2 linked regions of the Lepisosteus oculatus genome follow. The protein of the gene in region 1 interacts with the protein of each later gene in a pairwise test. Links are inferred from orthologs where the notes say so. Each region holds a gene or a part of one and is shown on either strand. Other genes may lie near its edges.

The links. The genes of interacting proteins can lie anywhere in the genome.
Region 2: the proteins of edc3 (region 1) and annexin A10 interact in binary tests that used the Homo sapiens proteins (3 or more experiments, as listed by UniProt). The link is inferred for Lepisosteus oculatus from reciprocal best matches to the Homo sapiens genes EDC3 and ANXA10.

What each region holds. Positions count from the first base shown.
Region 1 is NC_090700.1:56,696,015-56,703,984, forward strand, and holds the start of edc3 (enhancer of mRNA-decapping protein 3), read right to left. Parts: upstream 3,005-7,970; 5' UTR 2,863-3,004; intron 2,471-2,862; exon of another isoform or gene 1,626-2,470; intron 1,351-1,625; 5' UTR 1,345-1,350; coding exon 1,181-1,344; intron 1-1,180. Other genes in the region: cyp1a (cytochrome P450 1A1), read right to left, coding at 6,054-6,348, 6,934-7,020, 7,562-7,685, 7,844-7,933. UniProt on the Homo sapiens protein: Binds single-stranded RNA. Involved in the process of mRNA degradation and in the positive regulation of mRNA decapping. May play a role in spermiogenesis and oogenesis.
Region 2 is NC_090696.1:14,026,961-14,034,529, reverse strand, and holds the start of annexin A10, read left to right. Parts: upstream 1-4,550; coding exon 4,551-4,622; intron 4,623-4,959; coding exon 4,960-5,041; intron 5,042-6,143; coding exon 6,144-6,238; intron 6,239-7,569.

The sequences.
Region 1 (7,970 bases):
TGGGGAGAACCACCTGCAACTGAATGTAGCAAAGACTAAGGAGTTGGTGATACACTTCAGGAGGAAGAGGGTCCAACCTACTCCTGTCTACATCCATGGGAGTGGTCTAAGAAGGGTCAGAGCCGACTTTACTTCTTGAGGAGGCTCAGGTCCTTCAATGTGTGTAGTAAAATGCTACATCTGTTCTATCAGTCGGTGGTAGGGAGCGTCATTTTCTACATGGTGGTATGCTGGGGCTCTGGGATTAGAGCAGTGGATTCTAAAAGGCTGAACAAGCTCATCAGGAGAGCAAGCTCTGTCATTGGGTCTGGCCTGGACCCCCTGGAGGTAGTGACCGAGAGGAGAATGGTGTCCAAACTAGAGGCCATCATGGACAACGTCTCCCATCCCCTCTATGACAGGCTTGCAGAAATGAAGAGCACGTTCAGCAATAGACTGATCCATCTACGGTGCGACAGGGAGCGCTACAGGAGGTCATTCTTGCCTTCTGCCATAAGACTGTACGACGCATCCACCTTGCGTCTGGGCAGAGGCAACATTGACAGTGACGTTTCTGGACTGAACAGTAAACTGATACATCTGTTCTTTTTCTTTTCCCGTTTAAAACTGTTTTTGTGCAATATATGCCAGGGACCTGAGCAATACATTTATATTTATAATCATATTGTGCAATACGACTTTTTTGTGTACTGTTCTGTTCTTTGTGTGTTCTGGACTGTGAGTAACTCTTCTTAGTGCACTTCGCACTGTACTGATTGTATTGTATTATTATTATTGTATCATTCGTTACACTGTGTCTGTGTTGTCTGTGTTAAGCTGCTGTTGCACTCCAATTTCCCTCAAGGGATCAATAAAGTATCTAAAATACAGATAATTCAGATTAAAATCATCCCGCTTTTTCCAAACAGAAATAATCAAAAATTCATATTTAGGTTCAGAAAAGAATCCAATGTTGTTAAAAAATGTCAATGAAATGAATGTAAGAATTTAACAAAATAAGGAAATTCGTCAAGGATTTTTGGAAACATTGTCTGCTCTTAAGTTTACATAATGGCAGTAGATCATAATGGAAACGTACAAGTGAGAAAGAGACTAACACTGAAGTTAAATATTGTGTAAGCTCCTTTTGATTGAAACCTGAGTGAAAAGTAGTCTGAGACAATGCCTCCTGGAACCTCACCTAAAGGTGACTTCAGGCACCGGGCACTTGATCCCATTGTGAAAGGGCTGTCTGAGGGAGATGGTCTGGCTGGCCTGGTCCACAGCAGACACCTCTCCCTGGTACATCCCCAGCGTCTCCCCACAGTTAATGGACACCAGGCTCCCCAGCCAGTCCGCCGCCATCCTGGCCTGCAACACAACAAGTGGCTTTTCATCCAACTGTCGGAGCTTCTGTGCATCGTGCACTACAGAACTGAACCCAAAACAGTATTCCTGTTAAACAAATGGTCTTAAACACGGGAACTTAATTTGTCACAGTAGTTACAATACAGAATATATATAGTTGCCTACCATATCGTAGGCAACCTGAAAGTTTTATAAGTGTCTTGTCAGCAGAGTTGCTCTATCAAGCACGTTCCCCTGGATCTCTAATTTTCTTGGTGCAGCATCTTATTTTCTCTTACCTGTGGGAGGTTAATGAAGCAGCCTGATGCCAGAATACTGAGAGCAGGTAACAAATGCAATGCAAAGTTCCACTCAGAGTTCCCTGGGTGTTATAAAGGTCCAAACACACACTCCGCCCCCAGAACATTTTTTGGATTTAATCATATTACACTGTATACCATGCTTAAACTTCACTCTGAATTCTCCCTGCACTTCATACACCTCACAATTTAAATAAAACCAAAATCGCCAACAATCACTTCAAACAACACAGAGGCAGGTGCCTGGGGTTGCAGCTAAGGCTCTGGACTCCAGACCAGTCTTGGTTTCTCAGGTGAAGCTCTGCCTTCGCACCTGCAACCCTTCCACGTCCCTCGCACTGCCCCAGTAAATCCCCTGCTGTATAAACAGGTTTCTGCATGGTCAATGTAAATCAGAATGATCTCTATTGAATTTAACAGGTGAAAAATAAAAAAAAACAGTGAAGTACTAAACAAAACAATCATTACTTTTGTTTTGCAACTAAATGCACCAAACATGATTTTCTTAATCTAAAGGGAAAAAATGCAAAATCGTATCCACTGGATTCGAGTTTTATGTTGGTGGTGAAGAGACTGCATCCAGAACTGGGTTGATTCTTGACTGCTTACCCATGTTCGAAAGAATCCTCTAAACTCCCTTGCAAAGGGTTTCAGCAATAGCAGCCTCCGAGTGTACAAGACAACAGAAGATTGCTGTATCCACTATTGTACTGCAAGACCATATAACCATCAGTTTACCACATGCACCCCCGAGTCCAACAAACCCTCATATTCTTATACTGCATATTAGGACTACAAAAGTTTACAACACAATTGTATTGATGTACATGTGCATTGCTTGACGTACTGCTTCAGCATCACGCAAATGTTTTGCCTGGAGATATTTAAACCTTTTATTTAAAAAAAAAACTCAACTTTCTTATACTACTATGAAGAGGAGTTGCCGAGAGAAGGGCCTTCACATCAGCGAGCAGGACTAAAACACGGACCTGGTAAATAAACCAAGGAACAGACGGGACTGTTCCTGACTAAACTGCGTGTATATGTCAATAGTTGAAAATTGAATGTAGTCAACCAGGGCTCACTACAGCATTAAAACTTTACGTTGTGTGCTACTACTACACAGCTCGTGAGTCCTATGGCTACGTCTTTCCATTTTAACCACAAAAGACCATAACTCTAACCCATGTTCTAAAATAAAAAACAGACGAAATACCTGCTTTTTGCTCCTCTCAAAAACAAATGAATACAAATCTGCGTTTAACTGAAATATAAATTCTATTCTGTATGTTTCCAGACCCCGAAGGCTCCGCTTTAATAAGCACCACAGTTCTTCTCCCGCTGCGGGTCACTTCCCGAAGGCCTCTCTGCGACTGTGTACGTCACTTCCTGCGAGTCCTGTCCTTTCCAGTCATTGGCTGAAAGAGACAGGCTGCTCGCGTGGGGATGAATTCTGTAATTTCGGTAGTAACTATTCCTGCATCTGTTCTTTGCGTCTGCACACAGACTGTGTTCTCAGGGATGTGAGCCGTCTGTAGCTAGATGCTACTGAAAGCTAGCCACCTGACTTCATGGGCCCTCCAGATAAACATTTCCCATGTTTTTGACCACTGAAATAGGCATACGAACAAAGAGAATATTTGTTGATCAAAGGGATCAAATATAGATGAGAAAAAATGTGGTATATACTCTTATAAAATGTATGCAGTATGAGTTTAAGAAGATACTTTATAGAATGCATAGGCTACATGGAATAAGAAATTTGGTTCAAGTGTCGTGCGGGAAGCAAGTCGAAAAAACGTACACACTTTTAAACTCTGTGATATTATGCATTTATTCTGTTTTACGGTTACCGAACTATTTTCTCTACTGTAGCAGAATAAAATAAAAATGATCAACAAATCTCGCATCAAATGAGAAAGACTGACGTTTCTTTTTCTCGTATTGAAATAATTCTTTGGTTAGAAACAGTTTTTGAAATGTTGGTGCGTCTTTACGTGTTGGAGGACAGAAACCCGTGATGATCTGTCACATTGAAGGCTGAGAATATGGAACAGGATATGAAATGAAACCACTCGGAAGGGTAGAGAGAAGACACACAGCCCAACACAACTTCATGTCAAATTATCTGTAAATGGTTAGTGTTCTGCTGAAAGATTCAGAATACAAAACACGTTCCCCTTTGTTTTAAAGTTTGAAAAATCTAATTTAATTGGCGTGAAATACAAATGTTATAGGACACGATTTCTAGGTTTACACCGTGATATGATTCAGGTATTCAAATGGATGGTGCCGAGAAAGAAATATTTAAAGCTAGGGAAATATGGCTGAAATGGAGTAATAAAGAAATTAAGAAAAAAAGACAGCTCACACTACAAATTACATTAAGAAACCTGAGGTTAAAAATAAATGAACTTAATGCACAAATCAAAAAGTGACACTGACAAGAATATTGCATCAGAAGAATGTAAATATTTGTACATGCTATAAAACGAACTGTAAACATTGGAATATATAGTTGAGATCATATGGGTCTGATATTAGAAGATGCAATATAGTTTATGTGCTAGATTAAATATTTAAATGTGAAAATGTTGACTGTCACATTTGAGAATGAAAATGCAAGTCAAAATGTATTTAACTAACCTATTTAGTATCAGTGCTACACAATATAATTGTATGTCTATAAAAATAAGAAATAAAAAAGACCGGGTTCATGTTCAAAAGGTTTATTATTTCCATCCAATTTATTACTTTATCCCATTTATTATCTCACAGAGATTAAATGTTTTTAAAAAAACAGGAACTCCTCTTATACATGCTGTAAGCTTGATACATGAATGAGAGAAAATAGCTTGATATAAGCAAGCACAAACCAAAATCATTTAAAAAGAAATTACCATAACTTGCATATATTTTGTTCTACAAGATCAGCGTAACTGCAACAGCTTGGAAAAAGGTCCTTCATGATTGCGTAATAAAATTCACAGATACACCTGTTAACAATACAAATGGCTGTACAATTGGCTAGAATATGTTTTTAGACAGAAAATAATAAAAGCTATTTTTAAGTCAATAAGGTACAGTATAATTCAGTCCCTCATCCCACAATTTGTTACATGTACAAAAACTGATATTTTGTTCAGGACCTGTAAAAGCCCTTAAATAGGTAAGTGTTGTTTGGTTAAGTACACTGTCACATTCTGGGATAAATGCCCCTCCTGGCAGACAAAGCATCAATATGTTACTCCACATATAAATATATGGCAAAAAAGACGAGAGACCTCAAACCTGGGATGGCTAGTGTGACACTTGTGGTCAATATTGAATCTTTCACAAATAACTCTACATTCTACATATACAGGTTAAAAAAAAAAAGATTTGTTCGAAAGGCGCCTAAGACACAAAGTATATTTCCTATACAGTGTCCATTGTTTCTGGGGCTTAACTTTGAGTTGTATACAATTACAGACAACCGAATAACAAAGCTCTTCCACATCACCAGAACAGGTTACAAACCGGTGTAAAGGCAAAAAGCAAATCACGTGCCATAAATCTGCGTTTGGATACAAGTAGCAAAACGTATTCAACTAAATAAAGAATACAATGAAAATCCATTTGCAACTTTGATTTAAGACCTAAATTCAGATTAAAAACTGAAAATATCCCCTTACCTATCATAACAAGAGGAATAAGACAACAACATTGAAACTGGTGCAAAGCAGTTTTAGAAATGCGCACAAACTGGAAGCTTTTGATCTGAGGCAGCACAGAACTCTTTTGATGAGTTATTTCTGATAAAGGAGCAAAACCCAAATAAGAGATTTACAGCAATTCCTACAAAGCTAAAAATCCCTAGTTTCAACATTTAAATATCAGAGTAATAATAACAGATGGGTTCCATTTTATACACTTTTGAAGGCAGACATCTGTTTTTAATTTTATTTTTCCCCATCAGTTCTACCTGATGGAACCACTCATATACAGAATGAGATAAGTCACTACAAACTGATCAGCCATCTCTGAAGTCAGCTTTCACACATTCTTACAGACCTCCTGCTGTACTGAAACTATAAAGTTATTTTTCTTTTGAGAACTGGTTTGGAAGTTCAGATTCAAGTCAACTGGAGCTTCAGTTAGAATTAATTCTCACACAGTTGCTTGCAATTACATTTTGGCTTTTCTTTTGAAAAGCAGCCCTTTACAATTTAAGAAATCTGTTGTGTACTTTGTATTGGCTTCTTCTGGCATTCTAGTCTCAAGTCGAAGACACATAGCTCCTGTTTGAAAGCCAGACCGCTGCGTCAGCAGCTCAACGCTATCAACCTCCAGGAACAGCTAGACACGGAACAGCCATCGCTCCCAGCGCGGCGAGGTGCACTGCGGGCTCCACGGCCGCCAAGGAGCTCACTCCGCGCGCACTCTCAGGCTGGCACGCAGGTGGCAGCGCTTGTGCTTCATGGTGAGGCCGTACTCGGGCGTCATGTCCAGCTCGTGGTCGGGGAGGCTGTGGAATGTGAGCTTCTGCAGGAGGATGGCCAGGAAGAGGAAGACCTCGGAGCGCCCGATGGACTCCCCAATGCAGCGCCGCTTGCCCATCCCGAACACCATCACCTTCTCCGCCTCCATCTTGTTCACAGTCATGCCCTCAGCGTCCAGGAAGCGCTCTGGGCTGAAGGAGGAGGGGTCCTTCCACGTGATTCTAATGAAAGAAAAAACAGGCTCAACTTGAAACAGGGCAGCCAACTTACTTTTCTGAATGGATTTAAAGGGTGATGCACTACCAGCTTTTCATAGCATTTCACTTCTGTGCTACTTTTGTCCTGTATGTTCTGTGTCCTGAAGACCCGGCAAAAGGCTTGAAATTGTAGATTACTAAAGAAGTAATTTTGATGCCTACATTAGCACACTTGACCTGGACCTTTAAATAATCGAGACTGCCTTCACAAAGTTTCCTTAAAAATCATCTTGCACATTGTTCTTGTTGTCGCAGCAGGTGAAATTGTACCTGGTTCTAAGTCCCAGAGTTTGAACAGTTTGGTTTTATTTAAAGCTGTGCTGAATGAATACCTGTATTAGACAACCTCTGCCAAAACCATAGAAATAACTGTTTTATGTCAATTATGGAAATCCAACTAGAAGTGCTTGCAGATATTATTTAGCTGTTCAGTTCATTAAAAATAATGTTTATAATGCTGATTAAGATTACTTTTGTTCTACTTAAATATCTTAAAAATCCAATAGCAAAGGCCTTCAGGTATGGTCCACTGCAGAAAGCCACACTCACGGGTCATGGTTGATCTGCCACTGGTTAATAAAGACACAGGTATCCTTGGCGATGTAGAAGCCGTTGAGGACGGTGTCCTTAGTGGTGCTGGAAGGGAGAAGCAGGCCGTAAACTGAGGTCATGATCACTCACAACAGGGGAGTAAAGCAGACTTCTTATACATATATTATATTCTTATTTGTCCAACAGCAAAACACCTCTTAAAGTTCATCGTATTAAGATTACTTGTGAAAATTGTGTTATTGGTCTGATTGGAGTGTTTGCCTATTTAATGCGATAGGTTTCAATAAGATATTTTTCAATGTTAAACAGATTAAGGGTGAAATGTATTTGCAGTTTTTAAAATATAATTTGCTACATTTATACAAAAGCACTTTGATTAAATCAACCACCTTTCCTGAACAATAATGCGTGCGAGTCGCTTTCGACTCCCGCATTGCTGCGACCTCTCAGAGGCTGGATGGCCAGTTACAGATTGTTAACATCTTAGATATGTCAGCTGCTTTAGTAGTTTATACAATTAACAAGAGAAAGAGGTTTCTGGGACATTCTTCAGTTTAGGATGTGAATTCCCTCTCGCCCATCAAGGGGTGCCGGGATTGTGTCCCGGCCCCGGAGGGGTCCTCACCAGTGCGGGATGGTGAAGGGCAGGAAGGAGGAGTGCCGGAACATCTCCAGGATGAAGGCCTCCAGGTAGGGAAGGATGGGCTTGTCCGACAGCCTGACTTCGCGCTCCCTGCCCACGTTCTCATCTGCAGGGGAGATCACAGAACCAGCTGAGCCAGGGCGTTCACCACACAAGCTGAGGGGCAGCTGGGGTGTGCAGAGCCCCAGAGCAGCACAGTCACGTAGTCCAGAGGCGAGAGCAGAAGGAGGCAGAATTGGATTAAACAAAAAAGGCTCAACTTACCCAGCTCTTTCTGGATCTTTTCCTGAATTCCAGGATAGGCCACCAAGTACATGAGAGACCAGGAGAGTGCAGTGCTAATGGTGTCAAACCCTGGGGTTGAGGAGGAAGACAGAGCCTGATGAGCGCA
Region 2 (7,569 bases), on another chromosome or scaffold:
GCAGGTGATACAGCGAGCTCTTTTGCAAGGGAAAGTGCCTGGTGTGGATGGTTGCTGAGGGCGGTCAAGGGAGCTGTGGACAAGGAGGTTACGCAGATTAGGTGGTCGGCGATATGAGATGATAGGGCGATCAGAAAAGAGGGCCCCAATGGAGGGATCATCCTGTAGGATGGAAATGTTCTGGTTAATGGTCCTTGGGATAGGAAGTGTGTTAGGGTGGTAAGGAAGCACCAAAGGAATGCGGTTGTTACGGAGGGAGTTCCTGATCGGGTTGATGGTCCGGGGGGTGTTTTTGGCTCGGGCAAGGGCCCTGTCAATCACACTGCTGGGGTATCCTCTGTTCATAAAAAATGAGTACATTTCGAGGGCTTGGTTTTCGAAGTCGATGTCATCGCTGCATAATCGTCGTAACCTAAGGAACTGTGAAAAAGGAAGAGAGTTTTTAGTGTGGTTGGGGGGGTGTGGTTGGGGGTAGTTGATAGACAAGTGGATGTCTAGAAACGGAAGAGTGGTGGAAGAGTGGTGGAAGAAATGTTAACCGTATATTTGAGGGACGGGTGGAAGTTGGTGAAATGGTGCAGGAAGAATTCAAGCTGATCGTTGGAGCATGACTGAATATACTGCTTTTGATTGTTTATCTGAAATCTCAATAATCACACATTCAACTCAAGGAAAATACATTATTTAAAATATCACTCAGTTAAAGAGATGTATCCCTGCTGCATTAGAATTTCAGTGTGTTAAAATTATGATATTGCACATGTTATTATATGTTTCTGGACTTATACTGTATATACTGTAGTGTTCTTTTAACAGTCTTGTTTCAGCCGACCTTGAAGATGTGACTCTCTGAAATGGGAAGCAAAAATAGAAACTGTTCCACTTTTCAGATATGATACAATTGGTTGTATGGAGAAGCAGATTACAGACAAAAAATCTAAACACTTGAACCCCCTGCTAAGTATGCATGGGATGTTCACATCTTGTCCTTTATTTTCACAATTTCACAATTCTGCCATTTAAAGAAAGTAATGGGTTACATAATAACACGTCTACTTACACAGAGATGAAAGTGCTCCTATATCTGACCTGTAGAATTCTATGTTTCAGGTGCTCTTTAGAGTGCTGAATATTTACTCATCTTCCTTGTTTGGTTCTGATTTGTTCTCTGGAAACACCTTTGAAAGACTTTGTAGCTGTACTTATCTAGTAAATGGAGCTCTATTACTGATGCAGCAACTTCCAAGAAAGCACACCAAAATTCTTTTGAATAAAATTCTCAAACTGTTACAAAATTATATTGTTAATGAAAATATTATAGATTTGAGAAGCATAAAGCTATGTCTCAGACATACTGTATGATTATCTTTATTGAAAATATTTTTTCATATATAATAAGATATATAATAGATATAAAGATAAAGAGTAAGACATCTATTAATGTAAAAAACAAAAAACTATATTTTTGTCTCAAGATTTTTTAAAAAAGTACTCAATTCTGTACTTCTGACGTGAGCAACCAGTCTCCATATATACGAAACGTCACCCTCTCTTCTCCCTCGTTCGTTTTCTGCATCCCTCCTCCACCTTTGCAACTGCCCAATTGGTCGCATGTGGGTCCTATCCTCCCTGTCCAATGGCCGTCAGCCAAGTGGGTTAAGCCAAGTCTTCATATCCCAATAAATGATTCTAATTTCTCTCAACCTTTCGGCTGCTGTCATTCCTCGTGAAAGTATTGTGTTGCATTTGTCATTATCAGTCACACTGCTCATTTTCACTTGATCCCTGTACAACGTTTATAAAAGAGTAGTACAGTAGATAAAAAAAATCTAAAATCATACTACAGATATTTATACAATGGAATAGGTCATATTTGTTAAGTATACGTTTTGTGTGCAAATGTGTTTTTAAGATACAGGACAAACAGTATGTATTTGGATGCACAATACAATATCCTGAGAAATACATTCATCTTCATGTTAAACTAAGAAAGATTAAACTTTATATTTTGATGTGTACAAAAACTGACTGATTATTTGAGCATTTTTAAAAGAAAGAAATACCTTTACCAGTGTGCTTCAATTATTATTATTATTATTATTATTATTATTATTATTATTATTATTATTATTAGACATTAAGGCCCTATTCTTTAACAAAAACTATAGAGCCATGTACTTAAAAGTCTTGCATAAATTTATCCGTCACTTACCCATCATTTCATATTGCATGTTAATACTGTATACAGTATACCAAAAGGTCTTACTGTTTTTTCTAAGAACATGCCCTTGTGCTTTTAGAATAGACTTATGACGTTGAATGGTTCGAGAATAATGAATAGGTCTCTTGTTAAGTTACAGAACAGGTGTAGACTGAATAAATATTTGGACCAAGATTCACAATCAGTAGTCTGATAGCATATTTTCCGTCTTCACGAGTTTAACACTGATATTTTATTTTATGGTATAAGGAATAAGGTGTGTGGTTGTAAAATACAGTAAAAAAGCTGAGAACATTAAATATTTCACTGAGCATCGTCTTTCTGTCTTTTTAAGGGAAGCTAAAAAAGGATGTTTTCGGCTGGATATGTAAGTTGCTTTTTTCTCTTTTCTTTTCATTGGATACATTTAGCGTGCTTATTTCCTGCACATTCATTTTCTAAAATAGACTGTATGTTTTAAAACTATCCCTATTCTCATTACAACTAAACTGAAATAATAATTAGTTTTTAAAAAATAAAGGTGAAGAAAGATACATTACCGCACACGTCATAGATACTGCATGAAAACATTTTCAGCTGTATTTTGTACTACATCTGCCATAAAAGTTACAACTTTAAACTTGAAAAAAATGAACCAAATACCAAGTGCTCAAAATGTTATATTATTTTTCAATGTCTCACACATCCAAATACATAAATCAACATGTATCTCTTTTTATATCTGGACTGCTTTTTTACCCAGCTCAAGACCAATCTGTTTATCTGTAATTTCTCATTTTAATTATATTCCTCAGTCACATGTACACCCTGTTGCATCAATGTGCTTAACTCTCAATACAACAAAGTGATTGGTTATACATGTACAGTATACCAATATATATCTTCATTTTTTGTCATCACTGTCTTGTATCCATGAAATCTGTATGATATTTTAATTCTGAGCAGTTTGGTCTGTCTAGAGAAGCATGTACATTGCATTTCTTGCTTGTGCAAGACTTATTGCCATTAACTTACCTTATTGCCATTTTATAAATTTATTATTGTATGTTGTTCCTGTCTAATATTATCTTACTATCATGGTCGTCGGTTCTGACTCCCGTGAAACACGTAGTTAAAGACACTATGCGAGACGACGGTATAATCCTGAAGTGACTGGAGTAGGGAGGTGTCATCAGGGAAGACGCAGTAGGATCAGGCTGGGTAGAAACACAGGGGATAGTGACGGCAAAGTCTTCTTGTCTGCAAAGTCTATGTGGTCTATGTGGTCATGTGAGACTCAACCAGATTATGTTGAGATGTTTTGTTTGAATTAGGTCCATAAACTCAGCTATGAAATGGTAATGGTACCCAATCAGTCCCAGAAAGGCCCATAATTGATTTTGGCCTTTGGCAAGGGACAAAACTTAAAAAATGTTTCAAATCTCAAGCTCAAGCCTAACCTAACGGTTCTTTACCCACTGTCCCAGATATTGAATCTAGGTGAAGTCAAGTCAACTTTTCCTGTGATGATCATATGACACTGACCTCTCTTAGCTACTTAGGACAGCTGGAAAGTGGGATAGATGCAATTCCCAAGTTTCACTAATATGTCTACATCATCACAGCAAGCTGTGGCATATTGAAAGTATGGTCACAACGGACAATCTATAACGTGCATGGATTGTAAAAAACCAGAAGGAGTTACAGAAGCAGTTGGTGACATTATGTGTGATCTCAGGGGAATCTGCATGTTAACTTTATTAAGATCTAGAATGAAAATATATTTTAAAAAATAGTGGACAGATTCAGGAATTTTAGCCACCTGTACCTGTGCTTCCATTTGATTGCAAAGGAAGTTCCCCGTGATGATGCCTACGTCCTATTTATCAAGAGGAGCACCAGGTGGAAAAGGGCTGAGGTGCATACATCAGTCTGAGTAGTGACACCCTGCCCTGCCTTTAACCCCTAATACAGTAGTCCCCTTTTTTCAGCTTCTTTTCTTTCCCTGCCTTTCTTTGTTTTTTTTGGGGGGTTTGGCTAAACAAAGAGACAAGGATTAAAAGTGCTCTAGGGCATCAGGTTCCAATCTTGGCCTGCATGATCTTCTAGAATATGGGGAAGTCTCAACTCACTATCATAAAAAGGAATTATGTGTCACAAAAAGAGCTAGCACTGGACCTCAGCCTGTATTTCTACAGTATGTTTTGCTCTTCATGGAACTGAAGCTTTACAGTTGGGCATTCTTTGCAATTACTATGCACACAAGTCACCTCACTTTTTTCCTCAGTGTCAAATTGAGTAGGGTCTACCAGAGAGTTTTCCAAGGTAGATTGTAGTCCCAGAGTCTGCTATGGCTTGGATTTGTTTCAATTTAGGGAAGTGGAGTCACTGGCTGCATTACTTGGAAAAGTACCTCTCCAAGGTAAGGGTCAATATCAATGTCTGAAAAATAATATAAGTAAGAATCATCTAAATAGGATAATTTAAAAATGATCATCTGAACACACAGCAGTACAAACAATAATCAACAGAAGGGACATTGCATATATAATTATTTTGTGTGATCAGGGACCTACAGTATAAAAACATCACATACTGTACTACTGTTAATTTGCACTTTGGTGAAAAAGACTTTGGTTCCCAAACCCCGAAAATCTGACATACATAGTCCTGAATACTTAAGAAATTGGAATCTATTTTCACTATACTGTAATTCATGTTTAGAAAAGTTTGGTCAAACTGTATTATTTTTATCACAGATACAAGGGACAATTTACCCAGCTCAAGATTTTAACCCTTGCAGGGATACAGAAGAGCTGTTTGGAGCTATTCAAGGTATGAGTAAGCAATTTAGTGAATAAAATTGTTTTTATCAAAAGTTCAAGAGGAAGTCAAACCCTAATCTCACCCACTTGTGCCACTCAAGTAGCTGACTGTTTTATTCAGCCAGGCAAGGTAAGCCAAAAAAGAAATATTAATTCAAAACAAGCCTTTGCTGTTCTTTAAATTAGGGTTTGGATGTACTACTGAAACATATTTAATGTCAAGAAGTGATACATCTTTTTTTACATATAAAATACATTTATATGTATTGAATGTTTTATAAATATGAATATGTTCCTTTACAAATATTTCAATTTTAGCAACCCTCAGGTTGATAGGATAACAAACAGTTCAGTAGTTTGGTTAGATCCTAATAAATGTGAGAGACAAGATGTGCAGAGTATAGTTGACATTACTCGCCTAGTCGAGGGAGTTTGGCAGCCTCATTTTAAGGGTGAGGCTACCCAGACACTCCCTCTGTATTGAGGGATACAAAAGAGTTGTACTGCAGGAAGTCCCACTTGTGAGATTTAGTGTACTGCGTATATGTGGGCAATTGTGCAAGATTGGGATCTAACATTCTTCTTTCTTCTAACTTTGTTATAATTCCATTAAACCATCTCATTTTAAAGAAAGTACATTCCCATGCCCTTGGAAAATACCTTGGGATAATTTTTTATAATAAATAAATCTTTGCAGTAATTTACAAGTGGTAAAAGGAAAATAGATGAGATACTGTATATGGTTGATAGAAAGCTCAAAGGTCAAGCAAACTCTGTGGTTTCTGACTTAAAGGAGAAAATTCAAAGGTCAATCAAAAGCTCCAGCTTTGCACTGTAGAGTTTTGTAGCAGCTGAAAAGACTAACATACATTATTTTGCTGTTACGTGATTCTGAAACTAAGGAGATTCGGGAAATTTTGTTAAAGAAAATTCCAGGACATCCATGGCTCCAGATCTCTAAAGTATCTCTGGATGTTAAATTAATTGGAGTAGAACACACCCTTGTAATCAAATCTTCTGGCAAAGTGGAATGGGTGACATTAAGACATTAAAAATCAGTAATAAAAATATTTACATTTTAAGCATTATTTAGTCTGGGATTCTTTTTTTATGTTCAGGATGCAATAAAGATGTGCTGATTGATATTCTGACTCAGCGCAGTAATGCACAGAGACAAGTAATTGCTGAGGCCTACAGGGAGATGTATGGTCGGGTAAGAAGATTTTTTATTTACTTTATTACTTCAACTACAAAGCAAAGCTACTGAGGGGATTTGCTTTGGTATAGTTGAGGTGCTCATTTGGAAGGGAGGTTGAGCCCTGCAGTCCAACTTCGTCAATTTTATGTCATTATCCAGCGATGATTAAGTCTTCTGCAAGCCACTATGAGACTTGTAATGTAAAATGATGAACAGCTCCGATGTTTCAGAGGAAAGCCCAACCACAAGTTGAGTAGACGTCTTCCAAGATTAATTATAGTAGTGAGGTTTAAAAATTATTTGAAAATTCCAAACTTCAAAAAACCTGCTTAATTCAGCACTATTTTGATTTGACTGGTAATATGAAATAAATGTACACAAAGATACAGAGGCGGAGGAAGGCTAGTGCATAAGATCAACTTTATAATACAATTCACAAGTATCATAAGTGATTAAGAGTATAATTTTGTTTCTGTAAATAAAAAACATTTCTTTTAACGATTCTTAAAGAAATGAAATGCCATCAATTGTTCAGAACTGCATGTGTGGAACTGCAGAAATAGAAATAAATACGTAAATAATAATAAATAATGAAAAAGTAAATAATTTCTGTTTTAGTTGTTCTTTTCTGCTTTTATTCTTACCTTTGAGAAATTAAATCACTTTATTGCTTTGTGAAACTCAGAAACAATACATGTGAATTAATACCAAACAGAGAAACAATGGCCATATTCACAGAAGATTTAAGTTGAAAATGTATTACTATTATTATTAGTTGTATTATTAGTATTAGTAGTATTATAATTATTATTTACAACATTTTCCAATGTCTTTTAATTATAAAGTTTTGTAAGAGCTGGTCCACAGTGTCCTAAATCATAAATCAATTATATTGACAGCCAGGGCAGCAGATTACATCAAGAAAGTCAGGTTTACTGTCTCCAACCTCTGCCGGTTTTCATGAACAAAACTATAAGTAGGGACATATTCTATGGTAAACTATATATATATATAGTTAAAAGTGAATAATTTAACATCAAAGGGATGCTATTAAAATCGTGCAATGCACCATTCAGATTCCTCAAATTTTACTTATGTTGTTAAAATAATGACTGATTAGAAATAAAAAAATGAAGCACTTGAAAAATTATACAAAATAGTCAGGGTGAATGTAACTTTAAGAGTGTCTTCTACATCATTGAGAACAGGAATCTTTGTTTGGGTACATATAAATATTTATTATAAAAATATATATATGCAATAGCACAGTACCTTCACATGGTCTAGAGGCAGAAAGGGTTTTACCACTTTTTTCACCCAGCAGGCTGGTCCTTTTTGATGAAAGG